Struthio camelus: one gene and its partners. The protein of the gene in region 3 interacts with the protein of the main gene of each other region in a biochemical or structural test. Links are inferred from orthologs where the notes say so. Each region holds a gene or a part of one and is shown on either strand. Other genes may lie near its edges.

What was found.
Region 1: the proteins of PEX5 (region 3) and AGXT are reported together in a solved structure, tested with the Homo sapiens proteins (2 studies listed by BioGRID and IntAct, with this or other methods). The link is inferred for Struthio camelus from reciprocal best matches to the Homo sapiens genes PEX5 and AGXT.
Region 2: the proteins of PEX5 (region 3) and PEX12 form a complex in vitro, tested with the Homo sapiens proteins (2 studies listed by BioGRID). The link is inferred for Struthio camelus from reciprocal best matches to the Homo sapiens genes PEX5 and PEX12.

Annotation. Positions count from the first base shown.
Region 1 is NC_090950.1:3,953,161-3,961,289, forward strand, and holds the start of AGXT (alanine--glyoxylate aminotransferase), read right to left. Parts: upstream 3,123-8,129; 5' UTR 2,785-3,122; coding exon 2,539-2,784; intron 2,390-2,538; coding exon 2,197-2,389; intron 1,869-2,196; coding exon 1,804-1,868; intron 1,717-1,803; coding exon 1,616-1,716; intron 1,411-1,615; coding exon 1,340-1,410; intron 959-1,339; coding exon 874-958; intron 473-873; coding exon 377-472; intron 1-376. UniProt on the Homo sapiens protein: Peroxisomal aminotransferase that catalyzes the transamination of glyoxylate to glycine and contributes to the glyoxylate detoxification.
Region 2 is NC_090957.1:14,844,291-14,851,630, reverse strand, and holds the start of PEX12 (peroxisome assembly protein 12), read right to left. Parts: upstream 3,123-7,340; 5' UTR 3,023-3,122; coding exon 2,897-3,022; intron 1,981-2,896; coding exon 1,439-1,980; intron 852-1,438; exon of another isoform or gene 770-851; coding exon 370-769; 3' UTR 1-369. UniProt on the Homo sapiens protein: Component of a retrotranslocation channel required for peroxisome organization by mediating export of the PEX5 receptor from peroxisomes to the cytosol, thereby promoting PEX5 recycling.
Region 3 is NC_090942.1:90,422,094-90,430,246, forward strand, and holds the start of PEX5 (peroxisomal biogenesis factor 5), read right to left. Parts: upstream 3,080-8,153; 5' UTR 2,968-3,079; intron 2,559-2,967; exon of another isoform or gene 2,463-2,558; 5' UTR 2,438-2,462; coding exon 2,288-2,437; intron 1,926-2,287; coding exon 1,890-1,925; intron 1,717-1,889; coding exon 1,584-1,716; intron 950-1,583; coding exon 815-949; intron 1-814.

The sequences.
Region 1 (8,129 bases), on a different chromosome or scaffold from region 3:
CCCGGCACGTTGTGCAGTGGCACTTCCAGCTTGTGGCGTGGGCCGAGGTGCAGCCAAGCTCTGCTGCCTCCACCGCACCCAGCACCAAGGGGAAGCGAAGCACCCAGGGCAGCCCGTGAGGAGGATGGGGCTGATGGGGAGAGGTGGCAGAGCCCTGCGTGGAGGAGCCGGCGTGACAGATCCCTGCAGGACAGGTGACCGGCCAGCTGGGCGAAAGGCTGTGCTGGGGAGGGGACCCATGCTGGGTGCCTGGGTTGGGAGGAAAGGGCTCTTTCAGGGTGGGGGGGTGCTGCAAGCTGGGAGGAGCTTTGGGCAAAGGGAAGCAACCCGTGTTGGGATGCCTGTGGCCATCTGTCCCAGGACAGCCTCTCCTCACGTTCGCGGCTTGCCGTCACAGCCCCAGTAGTTTGCCAGCCAGCCCATGTCTAGGTAGAAGGAGGGAGGCTTCGTCTTCCTCCTCAGCATCTTCTCCCTGGTGAAGCAGAGCACAGGGCCTGAGCTGGACTCTGGGGACCCCCAGCAGGGATCACCCCATCCCCTCATCAGCTCCAGGCTGGGGGTCTGCCTTGTGCCACAGCCTCCCCAAGGAGAGCACCAGGGGAGCTCCAGGCCCACGGGCAGCTCCAGGGCCAGGGCCAGTGTGGAGCAGGGAGCGGTTCTCGCGGAGCTCTCGGTACCAGCCCCAGGGCCAGCATCGCTGCTGGGGGGGTGCTAGCCGGCACAGGGCCTGGCTCTGGCCCCAGCAGACCTGGTGCTGGGAGCACTCTCCTTGGCAGGGCTGGACCAGATGGACAGCAAAGGAGAGGGGTTACGGCCTGCCCCATCCCCTCTCCCCATGGCTGCCGCCCACAGAGAGGACAGAACTGTCCTTACCTGGCTCGCTCGCTGAACGAGATGGGAGAACTGCCAGGGGGGGCGCTGAGGACCTTCTGAGACCCCGAGTACAAGACGTCAATCTCTGCACAAGAGGAGAGAAAGCTCCTCAGAGACCCGGGGGCTCCCTGGCGGGAAACGTGTTGCCCCAGGTCTCGCTCACGTTTGTCCTGCTGTGAATGGTGTGTGGGGAGCATTGAGTGGATCACAGGTGCTGTGGGGTCCTGGTTGTGTTTGGCCTGCTCTGAGGGACACCTTGGCACCTCTGGTAGTCCTCACCGAGAGGTGGAGGTGGCCACAGGGTGTCTGGCCACAGCTGGACCAGTTTCTAGTGTCACTGGCGTGAACTGACAGGTGATGGAGCTGATCCTGTTTCTATCTCCCCCTCCAGGCCCCGGTGTGAACCTCTGGCATGTGGGACCCTCTTGTCCATCCGGGTGCCCCCGACAGCACCCACAGCTCTTACCCTGCTGGTCCATGAGGATAGGTGCCCCCCCAAGCGATGCCACCGCGTCCACAAGCAGCAGGCAGCCGTGCCTGGGGGAGGACAGAGCTCAGCCCTGGCCTCTTGCCACCTCCTCCTGCCCTCACGCCCTTCCTCCCTCCCCTTTTCCTCCAACCTTGAGTGTCGCAGCCCCCCAAGGTCACACGTCATGAATCAATCCCCGCCCCCCAGTCCCGGACAGCCAACTGGGCATGGGCTGCCACCTCGGGGTCCCACGGGCACCCATTGCTCACTGACCGGTGGCACAGCTCGCCCAGCCCCTCCAGTGGCTGCAGGACGCCCGTGGAGGACTCGCCGTGGGTGATGAAGAGCAGTGAGGGCTTGTGCCGCACCAGGCCCTGCATGGAAAGAGAGAGAGAGATGAATCGCTCAGCCCCGGGGCTGGAGGGCTAGGAGGGAGCCCACCGCCTGCGTCCGGCACTCACCTCCTCAATGTCCCGCAGGGTGAAGTACTCGCCCGGGGGCTTCAGCACCTTATGAACGTCGGCTCCTGGAAGGGATTTGGGCAGAGTGAGAGTCAGGCTCGGCCCTTCCTCCTGCTCCACAGAGGAATAAGTCACATATTAACCAGGAGCAGAGCCACTGGCCAGAGTCCGGCCTCCTGGGCATTTGCCCAGTGGAAAAACCATAAACCACCATAAGCAGAGGGCTTCACCCAGGACTTTCTCCTGTCCCCAGTGCAGTGTCTCCAGCCACAGCAGCCCAGGATGGGGACAGCGGGCAGGATCTCCTGGGCGAGGGTGTCCTAGCCCGCAAGCAGCTGGTTAAACCCTGAGCCCCACTGGTGTGGTTTGCAGCCCGGCTGCCCCCCGGCATACCCAATCTCCCGGCAATGTTGGCTGCGCGCTCGCCCCAGATGCCGTTGACGGCCACCAGCACGGCGTCGCCCTGCTCAGCCAGGTTGAAGAGGGCGGCCTCCATGGCGCAGTGGCCGGTGCCGCTGATGGCCAGGGTCAGCGGGTTGCGCGTCTGGAAGGCGTACTGGATGCCCGCCTTGATCTCGTCCATGATCTGTGGCGGGCAGCAAGAGACCGCTGCCGTTACCACTGCCCTCATCCCCGCGGAGCCCTGCCGGCACCTTGCCCTGAGGGGCTGCATAATGGGGCTATGGTGAGGATGAGGAGGGGAGGGGAGGCAGGCAGGGCCAGGAGGTGACTCACCTGCAGCATCTCGGGGTGCATGTGGCCCAGGAGCTGCCGGCCGCCCGCGGCCAGGATGCGAGGGGGCACATTGCTGGGTCCCGGCCCCAGCAGCAGCCTCTGTGGCACGGCCAGGGGCTGGCGCAGCTGCTCCGGCGGGGCGACGTGCAGAGGGCCGGCAGCCATGGTGCGGCACAGCGGCTCCCGGATCCGAGTCGGGAGGAGAGAGGCTGCCCGCGCGATGCCCCACACCGCTGCACTGTGCATCACCACGGCCAGGAGAGCCCAGCGGACCCCGACCCCGGGGGAGGACGCTCTACCCCGTCACTGGTCCGGACTCTGCCCCTGGCTGCCTCCTCTCCCGGTTAATGTGCCACTAACACCAGCCCCGCCGCCTCAGCCCTCTCATCGCAGGGGATGCCCCCCACCACGCTCCCCCCGGGGCCGCATCTGCCCCTCATTGACTCCGTTTATCTGCCCTGCACATCAGCAGCTCCCATGGCAGACGGGAAACACCTGCCCATGGGGCCAGCTATCGCAGACAAATGTCCCTCGGCATTTTCCAGCCACCTTGGCAGCACCTGGGCCCCTTGCATGCCCTTTGCAACAGCCGTGACGTAACCCACCACTCAGGATGGGTCGCGGCAGCTCTCTCCGGCCCCAGATCGATGAATGCGCTGGGCTGGCGTCCACCCCGTTGTCTCCGTGTGCACTGAACATGCTGTCCACCCCAGGGCTGAGGGTAGGTCACGGCTCCTTGCGCCACGTCCCAGCAAGACATGGCATGAGCCACTCGTGGGCTCCGCGAGCTGGGGGAAGATGAGCTGCTCTTGTACCTTACTTTGATGGGCAATCCCGTTTTTCTTCACCTGCAAGAGGAAGAGGGGGGGAAGGTCTTGGGGTCCGCCAGTGGGATCTGGGCCCCAGGTGCCCATGGAGGGGACGTCCCACCTTGGTGAGGAGGCACATTAAGGGGGCAGAAGAGGATGGTTGATGGGTTCCCAACGCCTTCTTGGTGGGAGCCCTGCTGCAAGGGGAGGCAGACACTGCTCACAGGGTCCCTGCTGCCCCCGTTCCAGGGGAAATGCACCTCAAGACCGGTCCTGGCACAGCTGCCACTGTTGGGATACCTCCAGCATCGCAGGGGTGTAGCCCTCCCAGGCCGTGAGCCTGTACTCACTGATGGGGACATGAGTCTGTAACACCTAGTGTGACCACTGCATCCAGTCCATAACAGAACCTTATTCTGCATTAACCTCACTATAAGACAGGTCTATCGATCATTGCTCTGTGCCCAAGGACCAGCCTTGCAGACGGATGCCCATCCAAGTGCCATCCACCCAGAGAAGACTAGGTGTTGGGATGATTTGCCCAAGGGCAGAGCCACAGGGCCGGACATGCCTCTGCAGCAGCCACAGTCCCTGCTGGAGTGAGCTGTGCTCCTGCAGGCTTGGCCCAGCTCTCAGGTGTCATGGTGTGTCCTACAACACATTATGAAGTTGCATGACAAGCATGCCTGTTGTTCAATGTGCCATGGCTGTCAAGTGTGCCTGTGGTCCATCACACTGTGCCCATTGTCCATCATGTTGTGCCTGTCATCTGTCATGTGTGCCCGTGGTCCATCGCAGCCTGCCATCCTCCATCCTATGTGACCGTCTTCTGTCACGTTGTGTCTGTCATCTGTCATGTCTGCCCAGGGTCCATCATGTTGTGCCCATCAACCATCACACTGTGACCATCCTCCATCATGTTGTGTCTGTCTTCCATCATGCTGTGCCTGTCATCCGTCATGCTGTGCCTGCCATCTGTCATGTGCGCCTATCATCCAGCACGTGTGCCTGTTGTCCACTGCATGTGCCCGTGGTCCATCACACATGTGTTTCGTCCATCATGCCATTCCTGTTGACAGCCAAGGCAGCTCCCTCTCAGCTGTGCCAGATTTCCACGTGAGTGATTCTGACCTCCTCTACACAGCCCAAAGCTGGGAGAAGGACTACGGCTCTGCTGAAGCCTGCAGTGTTCCTCCACTGAATGAGAACCATGGGTCAGATATCAACTCTGAAATGCAAGCGCCACGACCCTGAGAGCTGCCCGTTGCAGGCTCTTGGCAGGTCTGGGAACGGGTCCCCGGCTGTGAGGAGCTGGCAAGGCTCCTGTGTTTCCGGCGGATGAACGGACTGTGGCTCAGAGCCAAGTGCTCGCTCCCTGGCCACTCTCCAGCTTCCTGATCTGATCTCCTCTGGGATGGCGTGGTCCCTGCTCAGCCAGCAGCGGGCAGGAGTGACCCACAGTAGTGTGGACCTGCCTGCTGCCCTGTAAAAAAGATGCTAAGAGACCTGCTTTTTGCAGCAACTGGCTGCTTCTCTCCATGAACCTCTGCCCATCCCTTCCTCCTGCCCCAGCCTGTGCAAGTGCTTCCCTAGAAAGGAGTCAGCCAACAACTTGGGGCTGGAGACGATGCTTATGGGATGGAAAGTCCCTACAAGCTTGCTGGTTTGGTGCAGGAGAGGTGACTTGTCACCTAATGTCACTGGACCACCACGGCCCTGGACCCTGCTGGGGCTGGCCATCTCCCTGCCGCGGGCAGCTGCCTACGAAAGAGCCTACGAGGAGCTTTTTGCCTACGAGGAGCTTTTTGCCATGAATTGCAAGCGGAGCCGTAAGCCGAAAGCCCTTGGGCAGGCCTCCGTGTGGCAGCATGGATCATTGGCACGTGCCTGGGGCTGGCATTTTAATCTGTGGCAGAGGACAGGGAGCCCCTTCCCCTTATGTGTCTGTAGGTCCTGGCAAGGGCAGTCCTGCTGGCCCCTTCTCTGGGCCTGCAGGGCAGGGGGTGATGCTTGGGGCTGTTGGTGCCAAAGGAGATGTCTGGGGCAGGATCAGCTGCGCCGCTGTGACTGCTGCTGGCACATTGCCCTCCCTACGCAAACACGCAATCCTGTTTATGATGATCCACAAATGCAGTTTCGGCCAGGCCTTTCCCTTCAGAGTATAGTCTTTCTCTGCTGAGATTAATGAAGATGAACAAAAGGTGCAAGCTTCGCCTCGGTGGGAGGTGCTAAACTCTGCTTCAGCTCAGACCAACACACATCTAGGAACGACCTGCCTACAGCTGACTGGCTCTGTCGGCCTTGAAGACCGTCTCTGCCCCTTGCATTGGGACAGGTACAAAAAGCTGTGGTGAACGAGCTCTGCTCAGCTTCCAGATTGACCAGCTAGATTTCCCCTTGGTTAAGACATGAGGTCTGCCCAGCATCTGTCACTTTGTATGGCTTTACCCATTCAGCAGAGCGCGGGGGCATACGTTTCAGACCCGTTTAGGTACAAGACTTCGGTAGGTGCTGCAGTGCTCCTGTATCAGGGCTTGGGAGTACAAACTTCAGGCCAAACGCCATCAGGCAGCTGCATCGTGGGGCCTTATCGGGCCAGGCGACTGCACCTCTTTGAACGGTGAGAGCGCTGCTGCCTGAGGTGTGCTGTGACCAGCCGGCTCCTCTTCTCCGAGAGGAGCTTGGAGCAGGTCGGAGCAGAGAACTTGTGTTGCTGCAGAGATGGTGGAAATAGCTACTAGCCTGGCAACTGCTGCTGGCTCCTCATTTATAGAAGTGAAGACAAGAGGGGTTGTGGAGGAACAACACCTTGTCACATCCCAAAGGCCAACAGAAGAGTGTAGAGCATGTGCAATGCCCCCTGGCACCCAGGTTGGAGAGACCTATCCTGTGGCTCCACCGCGCTTGTAAAAAATGGATGGGGGGAATCACGTAGGGGACTCTGTTCCACCCCTTTCTTTGTACTGCTCTGCCTTCTCCATAGCTCTGAGTTGCCAGGAGAAGTCCCAATGTCCCCCACCTTGCTGCGGCTCCTGCAAGGCAGGAAGCAAGCATGGAGGTGGGAAGGCAGGGCCAAGAGAGGAAACTCGTCCCTTGGCCAGCGACAAGAGACACAGCGGTGCTCAGGTGCCTCCTGCAACATGAATTTGTTGTGGGGCGCCGGGACCTCCCCCCCCCGGCCAAGTACACGGCTGGCAATGGGGTGTGACCGGGCCATGTGGCTAAAGCAATCATCAGCGGAGACAAAAGCACAGCCGGCACCCGAGGAATACTCACCTCCGTGCCCTCATGCCTTGGGCTGCAGCAAGGAGGGAGTTTGGGGTGGACAGAGCCTTGATCACCGGGGAAGGGCAGGCTTCTCCTCCCTGCTGGCCTTCCCGGCCATCACACCAGGGCGCTCTGGGACAATATCACGATTTGAGAAACAAATGAGCCGGTGGTTTCTGGAGGGAAACATTGCTGGGAAGGGCTTGCACAGGGGTGGCCCCGCATCTGTTTGCTGTCTGCTAAGCTCTTGCTTGTTGTGCCTTTATCAGGGGCATCTGTGCAAACGCGAACCTCACCTTGTACTGCAGGGAAAGAGGATTAGTTTGAAGTCGTCTTTTACTATAACAAATTCCCTGGTGGGGTACCAGCCCCACGTCCCACGCCAGAACCGTGGGCTGGCCGTGTCAGGACTGCCGTCGGACGGGTTACAACTGGCACGTGTTCACATGCAGGCCCACATGCATGTCGTGGCTTCTGGGTTCATGCTGTGGGAGTGCAGCAGAAAAAGTGGCGTCAAAGCAGAGCAGATCCATCCCCAGCCTGGTTCGGGAAGGCTTGCTAACTCCCCCTGTCCTGGGTCACCTCATAGAGCAAAAGAGGGGGGAAGGAGCCAAGGTTTTCAGGAAAGAAGTCAAACCCAGGAGCTGTGAGGATCCCATGGGGACTGGACTTGGAGAACGGAGGACTTGAAAAAAGAGAAACAATACCATCTCGATAAATGCTTAATGAGAAATGTCAGGAGGGGGGCAACGTCAGGCATTGATTCCTAGGCGGGGGTTGCAGGCAAGAGGGTGTTTTCTAGGTTTGTTAAATCATCTCCTCCTGTAAATACCTCTCTGCCTGGGGCAGGGGAGGCTGGACAGCAGTTTGCGTATGAAGCAGGCAGTCAAGGGGAGGCAACAGCCAAGGTGGTGTGATTTCAGAGCGGTCCGTCCAAGCCGCTTTCTTCCACCCCCCCAACGCCGAGCGGCTGCTCTTTGCCAAGCGAGTAGTAATCAATCCCCTCTCCGGCCTCGGCTGGGGACCAGTGGGTCAGACCACTCTGATATGAACAATCTTGCAACAGAGGTCTGATGGATGACTTCTCTGGAGCGCGCTGAGATCTCAAAGACGCTAGTCCAACAACGCTGTTTGTCTCATATCGTTCCTCTTCACCTGCCTAGCGAAAAGCCTCGCTAGCTGGAGGTTTGCCCGGTGCAGGATGTGGCTCCAGGGCCGTGCCCAGGCTCTTTGCCCTTTCCAGCCAGGATCCGTTCCCTCTGCTGACGGGAGTCTCCGGCTTCGAGGTCGCTGCTGGATCCAGGCTCGCAGCACTGCAAGCTCTGCCCTGAAACACTTAATCACAGAAACCAAAGCCCTGCTGTAGAGGCAGGAGAAACTTGCTGAAAAACGCACCATCTCTTCCGCTGGCAGCCAAAAGACCTTTCTCCTGCCGGTCCTCCGGAGAGTCTTCCAGAAAAGGCAGGGGAGGAGATGCGTGGCTTGTGCTACAAAGCCCCTTCCCAGCCCTAAACA
Region 2 (7,340 bases), on a different chromosome or scaffold from region 3:
TTGCCAGCAGTGCTCTTTGGTTCTCACATCTGCATTCTTATTATCCAAATCAATGTCTCCTCCCATTCAGTTTGCCTTTGAAGGTGTTTCTATGCTGACTGACAGATCGTGACTGTCCTACCCTTCTGGAGCTTTGTCATGGGATGTTTGAATGGCTAAAAAACAAGAGGGCGAGCCTTATCGAAGTTTACCAAGGCAGCAAAAGTCTAATCTGTAGGACTCAAAGGAGCTTTAGAGATCCACTTGCAAGTTGTATTGGTCGATGGTCTTCTCGGGGACATCAGAAAGGGCAAATTCAGGCTCGTTGCTACCCAGTGGCCCTGCCACTCAGTCTCAGATGCATCTCTGTGAAAGCACAGAGCCGGCCTTTCAGCTCTCAGGGGAATACAGTTTGACAAGGTGCTGTAGCTCTGTGGCATAGCCTGTGACTGGGCATCGTTGGTGAGTCTTCACGTAATTATACACGCAGCGGTAGCAAAATACATAGCCAGACGTGGACAGGACCGTGGCATTGGCTCGAATTTTGCGGCACAGCGGGCACATGGTCTTCAGTTTAGGTAAGAGAGCTGAGTCCGCCCCATGGTCAAGGTGTACTGGTGGTGGAGGAGTAGGGAGCGCTGTCAGAGATTTGATCGTCTCTTGGTTTTCCGAGGAGTACCACCACTCCAGGAACTGAAGGAAGAATACGCTGACAGACAGCCCAGTGGACAGGGAGAAGGCAATGCCACCCAAAGCTTTCTTCATTGCTGACTGCACTTGTGCCTTAATGCTGTGGCAGGGAGAGAAGGAAAGGAGAAATTAGCAGTACTGCACATTTGTCCCTCTGCAAACCAAGGCTAAAAAGGTTTGGGGTAAGTTACTGCTCTATACAGCTTCTTAATGCTAAATGATTTTGTTAACATGTTCCATGTTTGTAATGAGACATCTGCTAGGGTGTTGCTCTCAGATTCTTTGTGTTTTAAGAAGAGCATAGCATCTCTAGGAAAATGTCAAGTCCTGTTTTATTCAGAGGTCTAAATCAGAAGAGTTTGGGTTGAGGGGACCTGGATCACAGAACATTTCACTCATGGACCATCATTTTACAGGACATTAAATGTGACCATGACTAGTTGTGGCTAAGTTTCAGTCCTTTTAGCAAAATGGGTACAGTCTGCTTCCCTTAATAGAAAAGGGCAGCTAAAGATTGAATGGAACGGAGGCTGGAGTGCCAAAAAAGCATTCTGATTTTATTAGCACAAACTCCTGTGAAGCTAATGCCTCTTACTTTGTTCCTTATTTACACTTACTATCATGACATTCCCTTTTGGAGCAGGGTTTTGCCACATGTAAACTTCATCTTTCTGGAGAACAAGACAGCTTAACCTAGGGGCGTTGCCTCTACGTCAGCCCACCCACAGAACCTCCTAGCAAGTAGCTGCTAAGCAGAGTTCTAATGTACCTGTGTGTCCGACTCGAGGCGGCTACTGCAGATTTCTTCTCCAAGGCCTGGATATCATCTGCAGTCAGTCTCACCAGGCGAACGCCAGCCAGCTGCAGCATGGGTGAATGATGCTGAGCTTTCCCGAGGATATAGCACAGTTGCTGGATAAGAAACCAGCCCTCCCAGGCCATGTTTACAAATGGATAGGCAGCTAGAAAGGCTCTGTAAAAGCGCTTCCAGGACGATGAGGGAGGGTGGATGGAGTACTCATCCTCTTCCCTCAGACTGGACACCAGTTTCTCTAGCTTTCCTTTCAGGTAAGGAACAAGAACAAGCAAAAGGAGAGACTTCCAGTGCTGCTTCTTTGGCAGGCCAGCACTGGCCAGCGATTGTTTGCAGTCTCCTATTGCTATCCTCTTTAAGCCATAGAAGTTTTCAGAAAAAGAGGCACTGCACCTGGCCAGATACTGCTGCTGGAGCAGTAAATCCAGGAGGATGTAGATCTCATCAAACCAACGCCAGAGGGAGCCATATCGGCCAGGATTCGACTCAGCCAGCACCTATTGAAAGAAACACAAAATGGGGAAGGAGCTGATGGTGCAGACAGATGCTAAATTACAGTAACTGTAAACTATGCCTGCAGTTCATAAAGTGAGCTGAATGGGTCAAAACTGCTATGCTTGCTCACAGCTGTGGCCAAATGTGAATCCTGGTGATGAAAAGCTCAGCTGAGAGAGCGGTGTTCAAACTCTCGACGTTCTCTCTGTGCAGCAGTTTCCCCTCAAAGCATTCACTGTCAAGTATTCACTGTCTACATTACCTGTCCTCGCTAAAGGCATGCCTCCCTGCGTATGAATACAGTTGAGCTCTCTTGAGTCAACGGGACACAAGCCAACTCTGTTTTCCATCTTGATTCTGGCTTGCTTGAATCAAGGGCAGAGGGAGCTTGCATCAGTCTGCACCCTCTGTGCAGGCGCAGACTGCTTGTCCTGCACTTCAGCTACCGTCTTGGACAGGCCATGTAACCCTTCTGCTGAGTTTCCTCTAGGGACCTTCCCCACGACACAACACTGTTGAGAAAGGCGGTTAACGCTTGCCAGGCAGTCTGAAGACAGCTTCCAGTAAGCAGTTTCTGAAGAGCACAAGGGAAATGAGAAACATAATACCGAAGGGACTTGTTTTTTTGGAGAGAGGCTCCTGTAGACTCACAGGGAGGGCGCCCAGCAGCCCCTCACATCGCCTCCGACGCCAGGACCCATGCGCCGCAATAGGGCAACAGGTCTGCTTACGCGCGGGAGCAGCACGCTGCCCAGTAATGAACCCTTCCAGCCACGCACCAAACCCACCACCGCCAACATCTCCTGTCCTCTGGGTGAAGCGTGCGTCGCCCACCGTTTCATGGAGAACAGCCATTTCACAGAAAAGAGCCGTTTCATGGAAAGTGGGCCCAGGGAACGGGAGGCGCCGGGCCCTTACCTTGGCCAGGTGCTGCAGGGCCGGCTTCACGGCGGCCATCAGGCTGTCCTGGGCCACCGCCTCGAAGATGGAGGGCCGGTCGTCGCCGGCCGGGGTGGCCGTGAGGTGGGCCCCGAGCTCGGCCATGGCGCCGCCCCCGCCGGCAGGGGGAGCCGGCGGCCCCCACGCCCTCAACGCGGCGGCGGAGCGCGGCGGCCTCGGGGCTCTCCCCCGGAAGTGGGGCGCGGCGGCGCTCTGTCTCCGCCTCGCGCCCCTCTATGGTGGCAGGGGCGCGGCCGCTCTAGGCGGGGGGAGGGTTGATTCTCGCTCCTCGCGAGTCCTCCCGGCCGCTCCGCTCCGCTCCGCTTCCGCTTCCGCCGCGGCCGCCCCCACAGCCGGTGTGTCCGTCGCCGCCCGCCGCCGTGAGTGGGGCGGGGGCGCCGGGGCACTGGGAGGTGCTGGGGGCACTGGGAGGGGTCGGCAGTACTGGGAGGGGGAAGTGGGAGGTGGTAGGGGATCCTGGGAGGGGGCACTGGGATGGGATGGGGGGGGTACTGGGGTGGAGACTCTACTGGGCCGCTGGAGGGGAGCACTGGGAGGACTGGGAAGGGATAGGGGTGAGTACTGGGAGGGGACCCTGGGGGACTAGGATGAGGGGTGTGTGCTGGGGTGGGGACTGGGTGGGGGGGGTCAGTGCTGGGGGGGACTGGGCAGGGGTGGGGGCGAGATCTGGGGGCCTGGGAGGAGGCTGGGAAAGTGAGTGCTGGAACTGGGAGGACTGGGGGGAATGGGCAGGGGTTGGGGGGCAAATCCTGGAGAATTAGGCAAGGGAGAAGTGCAGGGAGTGATTGCTGAGGGTATGGGGGGGCAAAAGTGGGACAAGTGCCAAGGCATTGGGGGGGTGAGGGGTAGGGGTACTGGGGTGGGAGACTGGGCAGGGATGGGGTGCTGGGGGCAAGCAGGAGAACTGGGTAGCGATGGGGGTTGTTGGGACTGGGGAGGAGAGATGGGATGAGAGTTGGGGAATGAAACACTGGGATAGTGGCAGGTCTGGGCGTGGGTGAGGGTTGGGCAGCAGGAGTCAGGCTCCTGGGAAGGGGCCCTGGGGGAACAGATAGAGATGGGATGGTGGGTGTGCTGCTGGAGCTGGGAACACTGGTGGGACGTGGTGCTGGTGGTTGAGGTGGAGCGATTGGGAGTCCAGCTGCATGCTGAGGGTGGGAGGGATGTGATGGGAAGCAGGGGGGAATAGGAGTGGAGGGGCTGGTGGCAAAGACAGTCCTGGAGTTGGGCAATAGGGTCTGAGGAGTAAGGAGACAATAGGAAACAGAGAGCATTTGGGAATGGGATGGGGAGCACCAAAGGCCTGGGGGTGATGGTGCCTTTGCTCCTTGGGAGGGGACAGACTGCCTGCTGTGGGCACATGCTCTTAGGGCTGAGGGCTTCTAAAGCTGAGGCAAGCTTTCCCTTTTGCCATCTGTGTTTGGCTGCTCCATTTGTTTCCTGGTGCCCAGGCCGCCCCGAGCCATACTGGGCTATCATGCACATACTCTAGAGGTTTTGCAGAATGAAGCAGGTGTGGATAAGAAATGGATGCCAGCTGCTATGTAAGTCTGGTTAAACTGGGGATTGCGTTAGAGCTTTAGGGGTTCAACACAAAACTGTTTCAATACTAGACTGCTTGTATTAATGCCGAGTTGAGACCTTAAACCTGCCCCGTTCCTGTTTACATCTGCATGAAATCAGTGGTATTGAGCTCAGGCCAGGCTGTTGTTTGAATTCTGTGCAGGGCAAAGCTAGTGCTGGTCAGCTGCAGGATTCAGTTTTCGCTATGATTTTAGACTGAAGCTGCTTATGCTTCTGGTTGTGATGGTTCCTTAGTCTTCTCATTAAATCATATTTTTGGTTCGGTCTACATTTAAATGTCAAGCTAATGCTTAAAGCATTAACCATTGCCAGACCTTCTGGAGGAATTCCTCTGCTTCATCTCCTGTTTTTTGGAGGAGGAAGTGAGGGGTAGAACAGAACCCTTTTGCTGTCAGCTTGAACACCTTTTATGAGTTTTCGCTTTAGCAGGTGTTGGTTGGACACAGAACAACAGGAAGGCAAGCGCAATCTATCTTAGATTTTTCTCTAAAAACATAAGGATGTTTGTGGCGTGGTTGTAAATTTTCTCTGCTCTCTTCAAATTTAGATTTGTATACAAGAAGCTGGCATTTTCTTCAGTTATTTAAAACATTGCTATTTGTAAATCTGCTCTGCTTTGGTTTTGGCCTTCCTCTGGGACTTGCTGTAAACCATGCAGAGTTTGCTTAGTCCATTGCACTTGGTACTGCTACCAAGCTGTCTCTTAACAACGTATGAAGCAAGCTATGGCCTACACAAAACAAAAATCCACATACCTGCGAAAAAGAGTTTTCTCCAATGTTGCACTTGGAATATGGTAGTTGTGTTTCTTATTGAAATAAATTGAATCTTGTTTTACATCTGTCAAAACAGAGGTTATGAGGACACGGGCTGTGGTTGGCCGTGTTTGAAGTTTGAGTGTGTGTTTTATGATTATTCTCCATGTTTCCAAGTATGTGATCTGAAGTTAGAAGGACAGTGAAATAGCCTGCTTTTGAGTATACATATCACCTGTGAAATTCAGCAAGGGTTCTTCTGTGTAGCTTTATACAACTGGGTGAAGTGTGTTGTTGTTTTTCCTCTGGATTTTCTCTAACCTGCTATTGGTCGCTGTTAAAACAGTATCAGACAAGGTCAGCTGGAAGGTATGACCCAGCTAGATAAAGACTTGTATAATGCAACGAGACCAAAGCACAGTGAGACTGTATTGAAACTCTTTTGGGATCGTGCCAATTATTCTGGTAGACAAAAACATTTAAGTCGTCTTCTGAGCTAGGCTCAAATCCGGAGGACTGTGTCAGCAATAACACTGCTGCTGAAACGAGGCTGCTTTTTTAATTATAAAACAAGACCCACAGCAGCCCCCTCTGCGGGGGTGCTGTGACTTTATTGGAAAGGCTACTGTGTTATGTTGTGGCTCATGTGGCCTTCCCAACCCAGCCTCTGTTTGAGAAGGAGGAGAAACCTCTCTTGCAGGCAAAGTGCACTTCCAGAGCTGTCCCCAGGCGCGTCGTCCAGCTTGGCAGGAGCAGGAAGGGGACAAAATCAAGCCAGTTTGAGTAATACTGGGATGAGGAGAGGTGACCAGCAGGCGCAGGGCAGACAAAAGCTCCAGGGAGCTGGGCGAAACTACAGGTTGTGTTTCTCTCCCGCTCTCTGGGCGGCTGGACAGGATCACCACCGCTCTGCGTTGCCACCCTGTAGAGCACGCTAAAGGTGACAGAAACTGCCATTATCCTGCGGCTGCTGCTCGTGCGAAGTTAACTCCTGAGGTATTAAAATGATTTAGGTGGCCAGAAAAAAAAAGAATGATAGTAGTGTTGAGGCTGGTTAAGGGATGAGGAAGAAAAGTGTTAAGGAGCAGCGAGCTAGTTGCAGTGCTGGGCAGCATCTTGGAGTTTAGAGCTAAGCTTGTCCTTTCGTTGTTGAGCCAGCAAGGCCCAAGAGGATTGGAGGCAAACAGGCAGCAGCGTTTAGAGAAGAAATGACTCACTTCTTTACCGGTAACATTTAAAGGTAATAGCAGTATCTAGAAGAGAAGGGGAGTTAGGTAAAGGAGTGAAAAGGTACAAAGCAGCATGTTTTGGATAGTTTGGAGGATATAGATTTTTAGCCAGGATGCAGATTGTATCATCCAAAACGGTAAGATTGCCCACTCCGATGCTTGTTTTTCAGCCAATACTTGCAATTGTTTGTCATGTTTGTCACAGAGCTGGCAATTGCAAAAATAAAATGATGGCTCTCTGCTATGTTCGGACAATCCCTGTAATCTATGTATTTATAATTTGGTTCTGTGGAGCAAGAAAAGTGCTGGTGAGACCTTTCTCACAGCTCCGTTAAGCACTTTGCTGGCCCAGCAGCATTTTTCCACAAAAAAGCAGTGCAGTACAGAGCTAATAGCTTGTGTGTTTGTCAGAGGTGGGGTGCAAGATCTTGGCAAAGAAAGATTTCAATTTCAAGCTTGAGAGAACCAAAAAGTAATGGCTTTTCTTTTCAAAAAGTGTTTTGCATTTCCTGGGGTTTAGGAAGAACAAAAGAGGGAGAAAAATCAAAGGGCCTCCGGGTGGGTTTGGCAAGTAGGACTAATTGTTCTTTCCATCAAGATGCAACATAAAAACGTATCGTTAGGGGGAGTTGACGGTTTCCTTTGTCTGAAACATGGACTTCTCACTTCCAGTTGAGATATTAAATGTGCACTGCTTTTTTGGGAAAATGAAATTGTTTACCCAGGGGAGAGGCGGCTGCAGAAGGTGTCAAGATCTCCTCGTTATAAGCAGTTAAAAATGATCTTTCTCCTTTCAAGATTAAAAATCAGAAAGCTGAGGTGGCCACCTCTGCT
Region 3 (8,153 bases):
TTGTTTATTCTGCTCCAAAAATCGAGCCTCGGGTTCAGAGAGTCTCCTCAGAGAGATGCCACTGCAGTAATATGCCAGCGTCCTTAGGATTTCCTACTTCAATTTCACAATTTACTCTGTTGCTCTGTGTGAGATGCCATGTAGGTCAGGAAAATTAGCAATTTATTACAAGTCTCTAGTGCTTTCCATCAGGCCCTAGCAAGCGTTGAGGCTTTATGGTACCTACTCCCAGGAATATAAAGAGAGAAGGTGAGTGAATGGGTCTACCTGGCTCTCTACAGTGGCTACTCCTGGGGGAAGAGAATAGCATCTATTTAAATCGTTCCCATCATTTCCAAGCTAGGTCATAGATGGTCACAGCTCTGTACACAAAGCAAGATGGCTTTTCAGATAAACTAGTACCTTGCTTGGAACACAGAGCTTATCCTATGGGTCAGAAACACACATAAACAAGAAGAAGCAGTACCAGCCCACCTCCAGAATTTGCAGCGGTTTGAATCATATTTTTTTTTTTTTTTTTATAAAAACAGTTTGAATAGCCTGCTTCTACTAAGTTTTGCAAGTAATCCTGGCTAAAAAAAAAAAAAAAAAAAAGCCCCTTACACCTGAATAGGAGCATCCTCACCGGATAGCGAGCAATTTGGCTAAGCTATTCCAAAGCAGCTTCTTTTCATGTTCACACTACTACAAAAAACACTGACTTCTTGGGCCCAAACAGTTACTCCAATTTCATATCCAGTAACTTAACTCTCCACTGTACAAAAACATGCGACTGGGCAACACCTCAGCCTTACTTCCAAAAGGGAGTCGTCACCTGTCACTTCAGCTATGAACTCCTGTGACCAGTCAGCCTCGTTGTAGTCTGAAGAGACATCACCAGTGCCATCTGCCTGAGCCAAGAACTCCTGGGTCCAGTTTTCAGACAGCGCCAAGGCTGCCACACCTGGAGCTACAGGAAGAAAAACATACATGAGGATGGGAGGACTCAGAGACATGATTTAAATGTCTCAGGCTCCTTCAGATAGCCATCATCTTCTCTGATCAGGTCCCTTTCTCTCTGTTAGACCAGAATCACAGGAAGATTTCACTTGAAAGGGAGCTCTGCAGGTCTCCAGTCTTCTCACAGCAGGGTAACTCCAAAGCTGGATCAGGTTGCTCAGGGGCTTGTCCAGGCAACTACTGAACATCTCCAAGGATGGCGATTCCCTGGTCTTTCTGGGTACCTGTTCCAGTGCTGAATCATCCTCCAAGGAAAGAAACTTTTCCTTACATCTATAGACAGTTTCCCTTTTTACAACTCGTCCCCACTGCTTCTTGTCCTTTTGTTGTACATGACTGCAAAGATTCTGGCTCTGTCTCCCCATTACGTAGCTGAAGGCAGCAATTAGATCCCATCTTAGCAATTAGAATCCTCTTCTCCAAGCTGAACAGACACAGTTCCCTCAACCTTTCCTCTTCCATCATGTATTTCAGCCCCCTGACATCATCTCACAAGTGCTGAATAGAGGGGACCCAACCTACTGGGAGCCTAACCAAACTACAAAGGTCTTTTCCTGCTCTCCACATACTGCAGCGCCTCTCACCTCGCTGAGGGGCCTGTCGGAAGTTTGACTGCTCAATCTCCTGCATCTCAGCCAACAGGTCATCCATCTTAAAGGTCTGGGGTGCACGGGACAGTAAAGGGGCATTCTGCTCTTGCAGGAACTCTCCAACCAACTGCGAAAGAGACAGATGGAGAGTGAATATAGTGCAGAAGACAAACAGGCAAAGTAATGGAGCATGCGAGAAAGGAGCAGGCTAGGTAGAAAGAAAGAACAAACAGAGAAAAAAAGTATCAACTGAAGTGTTAAGAGAAAAAGTAGTAAGGAAATATATCAGCCTGTTCTTACCTCATCTTCAGAGGCCACTCCCAGCGGTTTGGATACCTGCAGGGAACAGTGGGCAATCACCCCAACAGCTTTGACACTGTACACCTCACACACCAAGGCCTGATAAATTCACATCCTCCTCTTCCTCGAAGTTAGGCTAGCAGCACTTTCTTAGCACTACCTGCCTGCTTACGCAGAAGCCGAAGGAGAAGAAACAGCCCCAGCGATGTTTGCCTAACTGCTCCCGCTCTGGGCCGACCCCCACGGCAGTAAGGCACGCAGTCCACCGCAGCCATCCATATCCCCCCCAAAAAACCAGTAGGGCCCCCAGAGTCCCTCCGGCCTGCACGCCCCCACTCCGCGCTCACCGCCCCCCACCGCGGGCAGGCCCCAGCCCGCCCCATCGCCGCGGCACTCACGGCTCCGGCGCCGGGGGCCCCCCCGGGCCAGCTCAGGGGGCCCTGGAGTCCTTCCTGCCGCAAGGCTTTGTCCTGCGTGAAGTGGCCGGCCAGCTTCATGAGGGCGTTGGAGCTCCCGCACTCCGGTTCCACCAGCTCCCTCATGGCCATGGCGCCAAACCCCGCCGGGCCTCACCTGGCGCCGGGCGACACCGACACGCGCGCAGGCCCCGCCGTGAGCGACATGGCTACGGCCGCCGCCCCCGCCCGGCCGGCCCGGTCGCGCCGGAAGCATGTGAGCTGCGGGGGGGGGGGAGGGGGCGCCAGGCCCCCCCGCCCCGGGGCAGGTCCTGGCGCAGAGCCCTGGCTCCGCGACGGGCCGCCACGGCGCCTGCTCGGCCGAGGGCAGCCCGGGCGGGCACAGTCACCAGCGACGCGCAGGAGCCCCGCGCCCTGCCGCTGCCGGGCAGCGGCGCCCCACAGGCTGGCAGCGTCTCCCCCCCTCCCTCTCTTCCTCGACTCGCCCGCCAGAGGAGCCCCCTCGCCAGGGTGGCAAGGCCGCAGCGCCCCCGCCCAGCCTCGCAGCCCCCGCCCGCCCGCCCGCCAGTCCCTCCCGGGCCACCAGCCCGGGCGGCGGGACCCCCCGCGCCGCCCGGGCAGGATGGCGCGGCCCGGGGGGCTCCCCCCGTCTAGTGCCTTACCGTGGGTCCGCCAGGGCTTGCGACGCTCACGGGGCACGGCGGGGCGGGGCTAATCCTTAAAGGAGCAGGCACCAGCGGCGCCCGTTAAAGGGGCAGTGCCCCGCCGGCTCCCGGCGCGCAGGGGCTGCTCCGAGCGCGAGGTCTGCACCCAGCCGGTGCTGGCCGGCGGGGAGGAGGATGGGAGGCAAGGCTCTCGGGCCGCTAAAATATTGCAGCTGGTGGTAACAGGTAAAAACTGTGCATTTAGCTGAAAAGTATGTAGTAGCCATAGATACATAGTAGCCATTAGATAAGCCATAGAAATGTCAACTCCTTAAAAGTTTTCATCCCTTTTGCCACATGTGTGATCCCAAAGGAAGAGCACCGGAGAAATCGGAGCTGATACAATCATAGCTTCTAAAAGAAAGGGAGAACCACGAAGAGGGGTTTGCACGATGTATGCTGCCTCCTGTGACATTAGGGTGCTTTAAAAAGTATTTGAAGAATCAAATCCTGTCTCCTCCTTCTCAAAAGGAATATGTTCCTCTGTAACATCCCTGCCACGCTTCCTAGATGCAGTTCATCTGACTAAAAGCTGATGTCCAGTGCTGTTTTAGACACTGTATTCCTTGGCAGTAGATCTTCTTGACTGCTCCCCTCACAGCTTTGAAATTCACATGACGTCTATGGCAAGCAGCATGGTTCAAGGGAAACAAATCTCTTCAGAGATACAGTTGGGGCTGGAGAGCCTAGATCTATACCAAACATGTTTGAGCGGTTTGCTTTGGATTATCTCTTCCCTGACCCCATGGACTGAACAGCAATTAGTGCTTGAAGTGCATTAGGTATGCTCTCAGGGCACATCTACTAGCTTAGTTTCCTCTGAGAGGAGTCTAGTTTGCACACTCTGAGACTGTTCTGCAATATGAACCAAAGCACAGCAAGTGAGGATGACTGGAAGATTCACTTTGAATGCCCGCTTCTGACATCAGTTCAGGCACTAATGTGGAAGGAAGCACCCTACATCTGGCAGGCAGCTGCATTAAGACATCAACACTTGAAAAGCCATTGACATGACCGCTCTTACACATAGAGCCCTAGGCTGCATGTGTCATGTAAAGCTGGTGAAATACATTTCTTTCTTCTAGATGTCTGCCTTATGATATTGCTCTCTACTTGCCTGCAAGTTGTAGTCAACCTAGGACCAACCTGGTCCTTCCAGTGTGAAGCTCCTGGAATGAAAAACAAGACTTGCCAACTATTAAAAAATGCTATTCCTATACATGTGTAGTAGGATCGAGGGTCAGTAAGAGCCTGTGAAAAGAGACAGAGGGAAGAGGCTTTTGGAGAGACTCCTCAATTATGTTTAAGAAAAACAGATGGAGACAGTGCTGATCCTAGGGAAAACAGTAGACTGAACAAAGCTGTAGATAGGAAGAGTGTAGGCAGTGAGATAATAAGGCATGGGCAAAATCCAAAAGCAAGTGAAGGAGCAGTGAAGAACTGCAGGTGAAGCAGCTTTGACTCATAAGCATTTGTGTCAGGATCTTGAGGTGCATCCATGACACTAGCTTATGATACCTGTTCAGCCTGTCTTACTGGTTTAGGGCAGGGAGACGCAAAGACAGCTCAACAAGAATGGCATCACTGCCTCCATTCCTCAGCCTGGAGAGCAAGAACAGGCACCATAGGAAATGTACCCGCTCTCATTTCTGCTGCCTGTAGCAACAAGACACAAAGAAATACAGCCTCTCTTCTTTTGCCCTCCCATCTTTCTCTTCTCATGGGAAGACAGTGCCTTTTCCCTGGCTCTTGGCTCCCTTCAGGCACACCCAGACTCCTGCAAAACAGCACTATGACTCTGCACACCACTGAACCAGTTCTAACATTAAAACCCTTTGATCTACTGAAAATGTGACAGTATCATTTGCACCAGTCTGAAGATAGCCTGTAGGAGGCCTTGGAGAAGTATCTTCCACAGCTTGACTTTCAATCACACGGTTTGCCGTTGTCCTAAGGCTAGAGAGTGAGGAGTGGCTGCCCCTCTCCCCCCCCCCCCCCCCAAAAAGGAATAGGAACAGACCTTGCAGGGTGAGGCTGTCTGGGTCTTAGACCCAGAGCAAAAGAGCCAGGAACAAAAGTCAGATGCTCATTTATCCTTTTCAGCGCTAAGAGACTGTGCTGCAACTAAAGGAATCAGAAGTGGCAGTAGTGGCAAAGCATGTAGGACCACGACAGCTATAGCTGTCGGTGGGTGAATTTCCTGCTGAAGCCACAATTATTTCTGTTTGCAGAAAGCATAAGAAGGTAGAAAGCAAAAGGTCCAATCTAAAGTCAGGAGAGAAGACTTCAGTCTGTTCAGACACATGCCTGGAAGAATCCCATGGAATAAAACCCTGAGGAAAGAGGGGTCCAAGAGAGTCGGTTGATATTCAAGGATCACCTCCTCCAAGCTTAAGAATGGTCCATCCCCATGAGCAGGAAATCAAGCAAAGGCAGCAGGAGACCTGCATAGATGAACAAGGAGCTCCTGACTAAACTCAAACATAGAAAGGAAGTGTACAAGAACTGGAAGCTGGAGGAGGGATACAAAGATACTATATGAGCAGGCAGAGATGGGATTAAGAGAGCTAAAGCTAAAGTCCAGCTAGAGTTGAAGCTGGAAGGGGACGTGAAAGGCAAAAAGACTTCTATAAGTACATAAGCAGCAAAAGGAAGGCTAGGGAAAATCTGGGCCCGCTACTAAAGGAGACAGAGGCACTGGTGACAAAGGACACCAAAAAGGCAGAGGTACTGAATGCCTTCTTCGCCTCAGTCCTTACTGGTAAGACTGGCCCTTAGGAATCCCAAGCCCCTGAGACCAGAGGAGAAGTCTGGAGAAAGGGAGACTCTCTTGCTGGAGGAGGATCACATTAAAGAACACTTAAACAAACTGGATATACACAAGTCCTTGGCCCCTGATGAGATGCACCTGCAAGTTCAGAAGGAGCAGGCTGATGTCATTGCAAAGCCACTCTTGATTATCTTTGAAAGGTCTTGGTGATCGAGAGAGGTTCCAGAGGCCTGGAAGAAAGCAAATGTCACCCCCTACCTTCAAGAAGGGCAAGAAGGAGGATCAGGGAAACTACAGGCTGGTCAGCTTCACCTTGATCCCCGGGAAGGTGATAGAACAAATAAGTGGTCAGTGAGGTGAACTGAAAACTGGTTGAACTGCCGAGCTCAGAAACTTGTGATCAGCAGCATGAAGTTCAGCTGGAGGCCAGTCACTGGTCGTGTCCCCCAGGGGTTGATACTGGGTCTAATACTGTTTAACATCTTTATTCATGACTTGGATGATGGGACCAAATGCACCCTCAGCGCATTGGCAGGTGTCACAAATCTGCGAGGACTGGCTGATACACTAGAGGGTTGTTCTGTCATTTAGAAGGACCTCAGCAGGCTTGAGAAATGGGCAGAGAGAGACCTCATGAAGTTCAATAAAGGGAAGCGCAAGTCCTGCAGCTGAAGAGGAATTGCACTAGTACAGGCTGAGGGCTGACCAGCTGGAGAGCAGCTTTGCAGAGAAGGACCTGGGGATCCTAGTGGACAGCAAGGCGAGCATGAGCCAATAATGTGCCCTTGCAGCAGAGAAGGCTAATAGTATTCTGCACTGCATTAGGAAGAGCATTGCCAGCAGATCGAGGGAGGTGATCCTTCCCCTCTCCTCAGCACTAGTGAGGCCACATCTGGAGTACTGTGTCCAGTTCTGGGCTCCACAGTACAAGACAGACATGGATTTACCAGAGTGAGTCCAGCAAAGGGCCACAGAGGTGATTAAGGGACTGGAATATCTGGCATACAGGGAGAGGTTGAGAAAGCTGGGACTGTTCAGCCTGGAGAAGAGAACGCTGGGGGGGGGGGAGGGGCGGATCTTATTGATGTGTATAAATATCTGAAGGGAGAGCATAGAGAAGATGGAGCCAGATTCTTCTCAGTGGTGACCAGTGACAGGACAAAAGGCAATAGGCACCAACTGAAACACATGAAATTCCATCTGAACATAAGAAAACACTTTTTTCACTGTGAGAGTTGTTGAAGACTGGAGCACGTTACCCAGAGAGGCTGTGGGGTCTCCATCCCTAGGAATATTCAAGACCTGACCGGGCACAGTCCTGGGCAACTCTAGCTAACCCTGCTTAAGCATGGGGGCTGGACCAGATGATTTCCAGAGGTCCCTTCCAACCTCAGCTATTCTGTGATTCTGTACAGTCAGCAGACAGAGTAATAAAGCGAATGAGGCCTTGCGTGCAAAGTGTAAATATTTTGGCAGTGAGAAGTAAAATATCAAAAGAACCTCAGTAACTCTTGGAGAGGTGAGGAAAGCAGATGGTACAGTTCCAGAAAAGGCTGTTCTGGGCTCTGCATCACTCTGCCATTGTCAGTCTGAGGGTCGTACCCTGCTGAAGGCCCTGAGCCTGATGGAGACCACTGACAGACTGGAGGTCTCTGCCTAGCCATTTCCCTGTCTTATAATGTCATGTAGGATGAAGGTCTCTGCCTAGCCTTTTCTCCATCCTATTCCTTTCCAAGCGTAGAACTTCGCATTTGCCTTATAAATTGTGTTCTATTCTTTCAGGCCATATCTCCCATTTGGGAAGATCATTTGAATACTGATCTTGTCTTCCAAATTCATTGCAACCTTCACAGGTTAGTGTTGTCTGCAAATTTGATAGGCACACTTTCTAATCCACTAAATAAATCACTGAAGAAACTATTAAGTAGTACCACTCTGAGGACAGATCTGTGCAGACCTTCTTCTTGACACATTTTTCCTGTTAGACAATGTATCATTAAAAACTAATCTTAGATTAGGCGGGCAGTCAGCATCAGACTCTCCTAACAGTATTTTCAGTAGACTCATCTACCTATTTTCCAATGCTTCCTAGTTTGTTTGTAAGACTATCAGATGAAGCTGAATCAAAATCCTTACCAAAGTCAAGACACATGACATCTATTTCTACTTCATTACCCACAAGGCCTGCTACTTCGCCATGAAAGATTGGTTTGACGTGTTGGGTTTTTTTGACAAATTTGAGTTGTCTACTTGCTGTTTATTTGTAGGCAATAAAGTAAAGCTGACTGGTCAGTAATTCCTCAGATACTTTTTTTTTTTAAATAGCCAGTATGTTTTGCCTTTTCCAGCCTTCTGAACCTCTCCATCCTCTTCA